Linked DNA regions of Drosophila melanogaster. The protein of the gene in region 1 purifies or fractionates together with the protein of each later gene. This does not show direct contact. Each region holds a gene or a part of one and is shown on either strand. Other genes may lie near its edges. The genes, in order: pck and wrm1.

Evidence for each region.
Region 2: the proteins of pck (region 1) and wrm1 purify together in Drosophila melanogaster (affinity purification with western blotting; one study listed by BioGRID). This does not show direct contact.

The regions. Positions count from the first base shown.
Region 1 is NC_004354.4:1,468,711-1,472,895, forward strand, and holds pck (pickel), read left to right. Parts: upstream 1-1,955; 5' UTR 1,956-2,085; intron 2,086-2,137; exon of another isoform or gene 2,138-2,157; 5' UTR 2,158-2,274; coding exon 2,275-2,353; intron 2,354-2,429; coding exon 2,430-2,638; coding exon of another isoform or gene 2,639-2,697; coding exon 2,698-2,893; intron 2,894-2,947; coding exon 2,948-3,234; 3' UTR 3,235-3,615; downstream 3,616-4,185. Other genes in the region: CG32808 (uncharacterized protein), read right to left, coding at 20-388, 451-936; CG14778 (uncharacterized protein), read left to right, coding at 1,108-1,243, 1,305-1,387, 1,447-1,629, 1,692-1,850; CG14780 (uncharacterized protein), read left to right, coding at 3,856-4,106, 4,166-4,185.
Region 2 is NT_037436.4:7,332,777-7,336,807, forward strand, and holds wrm1 (wurmchen 1), read right to left. Parts: upstream 2,451-4,031; 5' UTR 2,304-2,450; intron 2,123-2,303; 5' UTR 2,060-2,122; coding exon 1,766-2,059; intron 1,694-1,765; coding exon 1,499-1,693; 3' UTR 1,493-1,498; coding exon of another isoform or gene 1,319-1,492; 3' UTR 768-1,318; downstream 1-767. Other genes in the region: mus312 (mutagen-sensitive 312), read left to right, coding at 1-517; wrm2 (wurmchen 2), read right to left, coding at 1,319-1,492; eco (establishment of cohesion), read right to left, coding at 2,895-3,099, 3,162-4,031.

The DNA.
Region 1 (4,185 bases):
ATGGGGCCTGTTAAATCCATTAGCTGCTTAGGCTAGGCGGGGATCGTCCCACAATCAGCTGGCCCACCCAAAGCGACGACGGGGGCGAATAGCTATTTACCGTCTCTACAATCCAGTCCACGTAGGCCGACACCTCGGTGAAGACGCCCGGAAACGGTGGCCGTGCACAGGGCTTTATGCTCCAAGAAACAATGCCCACCTGGGTGTCGGAGCCAATAAGAAGCAGCGGGCCTCCGGAGTCGCCGCTGCACTGGCCTTTTCCACCTTCGGGCAATCCCGCACAGATCTGGCTGTCGTGCAGATAGGTCTGATGGCGCTCGCTGCACTCGGTATCGCTGAACACTTGCAGTTTGACCTTCTGCAGATGCTGCTGGACCACGCCGCCCGTCTACAATTGAAAGGTTCAGTCGATAGTCAAGGAGTCTGAAGGAGGAATGGCTTCTCTCTTACCGCATTTAATCCCCAGCCCGCGAGGACAGCACTGGCGTTTCCGGGCGTGACTTGTCGAGGCTCCGGCAGACGCACCGGCTGGACAAACTTGCTCAAAGCGACGGACTGCGCTAACTGCAACAATGCGATGTCGTTGACGTACTTGTCCTCCGGCTCGTACCCTGGATGGACGAAGATGGCGGCCACGCGGGCCACCTGGCTGGAGTTTCGCGCCAGCATCTGGCTGCCGTACTGCAGGTCGAGCTGCTCTGGCGAGGAGCCTCGCACGCAGTGGGCGGCTGTCAGGACCCAGTACGGGTTGAGCAGCGTAGCGCCGCAGGAGTGACGTCCGCTCTTCGCGCGTCGCAGCGAGACCACAAAGGGAAACTCCCCCGGGCCAGCTGTAGTGCCGTTGACGATTTTTCCATCCTCGCCAGAGGCTCCTGCCAGAAGGAAGGTTGCCGTGTAGAAAAGTGCGAGCCTTGCTAGCCAAGCCATGACGGCCATCTATGTGCACGGTTCACAGGTAGAGCAGGGCAATTTATGGAATATTGGGGCCCGCATTCGCTTGTGGGTTTTATGTGGGTAGAGCTGGCCATGCAGTTGTGGGCCTGAAGTATTAGCCATGCTAATGAGATGCCAACCGCGCGATTGTGACTCCGCAGGGCCGAGATTGCGATGGCGGGCCCACTTTTGTGGCAAAACTTCAAGGTGTTCGTCACCCGCTACCCGATTATGCGCGGCATGATATCGTACAGCCTGATCTGGCCCACGGGCAGCCTCATCCAGCAAACGGTTGAGGGCAGGCGCTGGGGTGAGTCGGCATTCTTTCGAGCAGCTCTCAGCTCCTTATCCTTCTCGTCTTCATCTTACAGGCACCTACGACTGGTGGCGCGTGCTCCGGTTCAGCATGTACGGTGGTCTGTTTGTTGCTCCTACCCTCTACGGATGGGTCAAGGTTAGTGACCGTTTACATGGCTGCTGTTTAGGTCTACTCCTATTCCGATTGCTCCTCAGATTTCCAGCGCCATGTGGCCGCAGACATCGTTGAGGACGGGCGTCATTAAGGCGGCGGTGGAGACGATCTCGTACACCCCCGGCGCGATGACCTGCTTCTACTTTATCATGAGCCTCCTGGAGTCCAAGACGGTGGAGCAGGCGGTAGCCGAGGTCGGCAAGAAATTCCTGCCCACGTACAAGGTACTCTTTTGGGATTCGAGGGAGAACTGCCGCCTAACCCACCAATTCCATCGCTCTTGCAGGTGGCTCTGTCCGTATGGCCACTGGTGGCCACCATCAACTTCACCCTGATCCCCGAGCGCAACCGGGTGCCATTCATCAGCGCGTGCAGCCTGTGCTGGACCTGCTTCTTGGCCTACATGAAGCACCTGGAGCACCACGAGGTGGACGGGGCCATTTGATGGACATGATCGTATTTCTCAAACAGCATTAAATAAAATAGTAATTATTGAACGAAATGAATGGAATTAAAAACCAAGAACGGTATTCTGCACTAAGTACTGGTCACACTGGGCTCACCTAGGGGTGAAAAAATATCGATTGTGCATGGGTTTGTTTTATATTTAAACAGCATTTTGCAAAATAGCCCCTCTTTCCGAAGATCAACAAGCCTAAAGTAATAAATTTAATAAAAAGGTATTTTGAAATAATTCGCGGTATATCGACCGAGCCCCACCACATTTCTTATCGACACTGTCCCATCGCTAGCCCCACCTAGTTGTTGCTGCATTTTTTGGGTGTGTGCGTTGTATTTGTTTACTGACAATCCCCAGAAAAGAAACTCCTCTGCTCCAACTGCGATCCCTCGAGACCCAGGACAGCAGCATGCGCGAACTTAACAAGCAGCAGTCGCAGGACACCACGGACTCGGGCGTCGAAAAGGGCGACTATCCGCGGGCCACCAGTAAGTGACGCACTCAAGCATGCGGGCCGATCTGCATTTGCATCCAAATACTTTCAATGCCCAATTCCCTTTCCAGATGGCGTGGTCTTCGGCGCCATAGTTACATTCGCCAGCTTTTTCGTGCTGATGATGTCCTTTTGCTCGCCGTACTGGATCGAGTCCTACGAGGAGACGCGGGCCAGCTTCAAGAACATGGGCCTGTGGCAGTACTGCTTTAAGGACTTCGTGTACCCCAAGTACGCGTTCTTGAAGCAGTTCACCGGTTGCCACAACATCTTCTCGCACGTGAGTACAGCAAACTGGCCGGTTCTTATCCTTGTCCTGATCTTCTCCCACTCGTACAGGAGTATTACGTTATCCGTGAGTATCTGCTGCCCGGCTGGCTCATGGCGGTGCAGGGCTTCGTGACCATGTCCTTCATCATCGTGTTCCTTGTGCTGGCCCTGCTCTCGCTTACCATCATCCGACTGCCTCTTAAGGCCGTTCTGCAGTACGAGTGGCTGCTCGTCCGCCTCTCCTACATGGGCACCGCCATCTCGTGTATGTATCTGCCTCCCGCCCAATAAGTACTAGCTAAACAGCGGTCTCCCACAGCTCTGTTCATGTTTTTGGCCGTATGCATCTTCGGGGGCTGCGCCTACCGCCGCGACTGGATGATGTACCCCAAGTTCAACGTGCTGGGCTGGTCCTACGCCCTGGCCGTTGTCACCTTCATGCTCCTTGGTCTAGCCGCTCTGATCCTGCAGCGCGAGGCCCGGCAAGCCTACGACGCCCGCGGCGAGCAGAAGAACCTGGTAATGCAAATGGAGATGCAGGAGCCGGGTTACCAGCCGCCGCGCCACCACCACAGCCAGTCGCGGAGCCTGCAGGGCTACATATAACAGCTGTCCGCCCGACTTCCATACATTCCGTTCCGATTGGATCTTAGCTTAAGTTTTCAGACGCAATCTCGTGCCTCGAATCTGCGCAATCGACGCCGTCCATAGTGCCTTTAACAATCGACCATATGTATCTATATACACGCCGACTCAGCCGAGATCAGCTCGTATCCGTTTGTAATTGTATTAAATAGCACGTACAGCTAAACGTAAGATCAGTGCGACCAAAAAGATCCACTAACTTTTTACACATCTACCATTATACTTTTTATATAGGCTCAAAAATGTTTACAGCTTAAATTTTTAGACCATATTCCACCTTTTATAAGCAAACTGGTGTAGAGACATATCAACATTGAATTAAATGTATTATTTGAACTTGCGAAGCTAAACGTACTGATCAGATTGATCATCTCCGCCCTGGTTTCCCCATCATGACCCCCAGCTACATGTTCCTGGTGATGAGGTGCGGATGTGATCTACACCTAATATGTTTATGTTTGCCTTATCGAACTGATAGCGCCTCCGCTGATTGCCAATTGTTAGTTTGGGCTGCTGGCTCCCAGACTCGACCCCTCGATTCAGTGAGTTTCGTGCGCTCTGTTTCTTCTCATCTGATCTGCGATGACTCAGTTTGGCCTGCACGGCTGCAGCTACATTCTGTTCTGGTTCCTTCTCGCCTGCGCGGCGGCGGACCTTCAGGAGAATCAGCAGTCGCGCATCATCAATGGAAGCGTGGCCAAGGCGGACGAGACGCGCCACCTGGTCTCCATCCGCCTTCTCCGCCACGACAACAACTTTGGAAGCGGCCACATCTGCGGCGGGGCGCTAATCGCGCCCAGAAAGGTTCTGACCGCAGCGCACTGCCTGTACAAGTAAGTAGTGATCCCACCATGGGGTGCCCGCTCCCTTTTGATCGAACTCATGCCAGCAGCAATCAGAGAAAGCGCTTTC
Region 2 (4,031 bases), on another chromosome or scaffold:
TCAGGATTTACCAGCCAGATCTGAGCCAATTGTGCGTTCCAAGTCAACTCCTGTGATTATGGAGAGACCACATTCGCAAGTAGCAAAGTCAACCTCTAAAACATTGAAGGCAATTGGGACAAAAAAGGATTTAACATTTAACGATGCCACGGGCGAGGAATTGCTGCGCTTTTCCCAATCCCTTGCCCCGAGTCTTTGCGATGACTTCGAGACCTTTGTCATGCAAACGAACGTTACCAAGAAGACACCACAGCCGCTGGTGCCACTGCACATCGCCTGGCACAATCTCATCTGCGCCAATCCCCAACTGCACGAAAGTGTACTCACGTACGAACCCATTGATTTGCAGGCAGTTTACTTGCACCTGAAGCACATGGGGCATCGATACGATCCAAAGGACCTGAAGACCTTCTTCGACCGGCGTTGCATTATCTTTCGCTATGAACTGGGTGCTCCCGGCAAGCAAGCAGAGCGTCATGTGCGAAGGCACACAAAAAAGCCTTCTAAAAGGAAGTAGATTCTACAAGTTATGGAATTTCATTGTACTTATACCTAACTTTGAATGCATTGAATTATTTTCTAGTATTTACCTTATATTGTATTATTGAATAAGATATTGTTACTTGGTATTTTGCGATCTAAATTTATTGTATGTAAAATTGATAAAACTCAAATACATTCAACACTTTTGTTTGAAGCATTGTTAACCATTCCTATTTGCCATTTCAAGCTACCCACTAGCATCTACGATTAAAAAACACAATATTATTTTGGGGGCCGTAGATTTATTTGATGCAACTTCAAAATACAATATTACAAAACTAATGGACGAATACAAATGTATAGAGTTTGTAGTAGATACAAGACACTGATATTTTCATACGAGTAGAATATTGGACAACATTAAATGCAGCATCTGTAGACAGACTACCCTAAATGGGTATTAAATGTAAAAATACAATTCGATCTTACGGCGCTAGAAAAGACACTTGGACGGTATAAATTTCTTACGAGTCTCTACGTGAAAGGCACATTGTCAGATTGCGATTAATGGAATGGAATCGGCTCGAACAAAACTGGTTGCTAATGAAACTATTTGTACTGCATGCAAAACTGATATGGTTGGTGGGTGCAGACGGGTTAGTGGGCTCTTACAGTAGCTAGGATTAGTTTTGGGGGGAGAGAGATATATAAGAAGCAATTCGTAGCATTGCCGGCATGTATAAGTATGTAAATTAAAGGCAGGGCTGTCCAAGAAATCACCAACAATACCCATTGGTTGAATGGGATTAATGGGACACCCCTGAACACCCCAATATTAGGCATAGCTAATCTCATGCTCATACGTCTTTCCCCGCAGATCCTCGTCATCGGGAAGCGCATGGTGGCGCAAACCGCACAAACGCGGTCCGTAGCGCAGCATGACAATGATAACGCCCACGATGAACAGGGCGACGGCGGCCACGGCGGGATAAAGGAAGTAAAGAGCCATTGCTACTTAGATGTCGCTCTCGCGCTTCTGCAACTCCACGTATTCCTCGCGCTGGCGCTGCTGGTGCAAAGTGCGACCCTCTGGACGTGGTGGACGCTGGTGCTGCTGCTGGTGATGATGATGGTGCGCCGAGTGCACGGGCTCCAAGTCGTCAACGCCGATGACAACGTCGTCGGGGAACACTTGCTGATGGGTTGTGGGCTAGAAAAAGTAATAGTTTCCAAACAATAAGCCACGATTTTTCGGGCTCTGGCCAAAAAACCGAATACTCACATGGAAGCGCTGAAAGTATGAGGCGTCCTTCAGCTCAGTGAAATCCAATGGCGGCTGATTGTGGGGCGTGGCAGACCAAATGGAAACCAACCAGCGATTGCCCGTGTGCCTGTCCTGCCAGTACTTGCGATGCTTGGAGCAGCAGCCCAAGATAATGTTCAGTATTATGATCGTGCCCAGGACAACCGTGCAGATGGCAATGGTCACATAAAACGGCGAGAAGTTGCCGTAGATGTGGCCGGTGAAGTAGGGATTCTTTTCGTACGCCTTGCGTTCCTCTTCGATTGTGGACATAGTCTTATAGGGGTGTGGTCACTTGCAAGAGCCTCAATAGCCTGCTGCACAATGCTCAATGGTCTGGAGGGCAGGGGAAGAAGAGTGAGAAAGCGGTTCAACCACCACGCTGCATGCCACTTGCACCCCGAAACCAATTGCCACCGATTCCAATTTGTCACATTGGGCGTGGCGTCACCAAAGTAAACTAACTAGCAGCACCAGCAGCTCCCCACTTAGCAGCTTATATGCGGATTGCACTTACCATTTGCGCGCGATTGGTGGTCACTGAGATTGGCACAAGTCCCATTCAGGTGTGTTACACACTTCTGCTCTTAAATGTTATTAATTTCAGCCACTTTGCTGCTACGAAAACAACGCCCAAAAGCCAGGCTCAGTGTGCTAGTGATGGCACTTTGTGGACTCGCCGCATGGTTGCAAGCGATCGATAACCATTCATCGATCGCAAGTGCAGGTTGTGTAAATTTTTTACTGCATACATTTAGACATTAAGTTATTTGTTAGAATTTAAATATATTAAACAATGTTTATAAACATACAATTTAAAAATTAACGTATGTGCTATTTTTGTAACACCAAATTTACATGTTTTAAAACCCGACACGTAAGATAAACAATATTAATCTATATTTTCAAAATTAATGCGACTCGAAGAAAATATCGTGTTCATTGCGTAAAAACAGGCATATTAAACCACCATTGTAAACATGTTAAATTGCGCGTCTTCGTGCCGCTAGTAACATAATCGCACTTGCTTATCAACTATTACAGGTTTCGAAGCAATCCTAACTCAAAAACAATCCAGCTATTCAATAGCTTCAATAGATTTCCCCGATCACTGGTCGTAGGTGAGGAAGTTATCCAACCCGGTGAACTGGCGTGCCAGAGCCCGACCATCGTCGGTGGGCGTACTGAAGGCAATGCACTCCCTAGCGATCTCTTGACCGAGCACCGTGTGGCACTGGACGACTCGCAGCAGCTTGCTGGCGATCCCGCTGCGTCGCTGCAGCGGAGAAACCCAGATGCGTGAGACGCCGCAGCTGAAAGAAGGCACATTTTAGCCGTTGACAAGGGAAGGGGCATGCAGTAGGGGATGTCTTACCTGGCCGGGTAGCTTTCCTCGCTGAAGTAGTCCGTGCCATCGACCTGGATGAAACGATGGGCCTGCGAGAGGGGCTGCACCAGGCAGAAGCCTACGATCTGCTGCTTGCGCACTGCTATGAAGGCTACAAAGATCTTTGGCACAATGTACGAGGAATAGCCCAGCTCTTTGTCCACCACACCAATGAGATCCCGCAGTCTGTCGAGCCGAGCTGTCGGAGCGCGTTCGTTGATCCGTATGATGCGCCCGTCGCTGGCCCATTCTGGATAAACGGACACAATGTCCTCGTCGATCCAGCCCTTGAAGCGCAGCACATGGATGGAATTGTGGTACTCGCGATGAAGCAGCTCCTCCTCCGGCTCGTGCACGGTGTACACCAATCCGCACTGCTGGCACTGCCGTGCTCCGAAGGCCTTTTGACCAGCATCGATCTGGTACTGATTCGATCCACCCGCCGCCGTTAGCAATCTCATCGATGTATCCGGCCGACGCCGCAACGATTTCTGGACAACGGGCTGTAAGCGTTGAGTGAATATGGGGAAAAGCTTTGGCTGAACTTCCTCTACTGCTGGCGCATCCTGTTTTGGTGCAATGGCCACCGCTGTATTTTCCACTGTTTCCATCTGAGCAAGCTGCGCAGCCTCCTCGCTGTTCACCACCATGTATAAATTGTCCACAATTTGATTGGCCTCGTCCTTGTAGTCATCCGGATTTGCAATAAATATCTCAAAGTTCTTTTCGGTGCAAATATTGTTGCTAATGAGAAACTCTAGTAAAATTTGCTGTTGCTCCACGACATTGGGATCATCGGTTTGGTATGGCAAACGTTGACGGAACTCAGCAAAGGGATCAATTTCCACATCGTTCGCC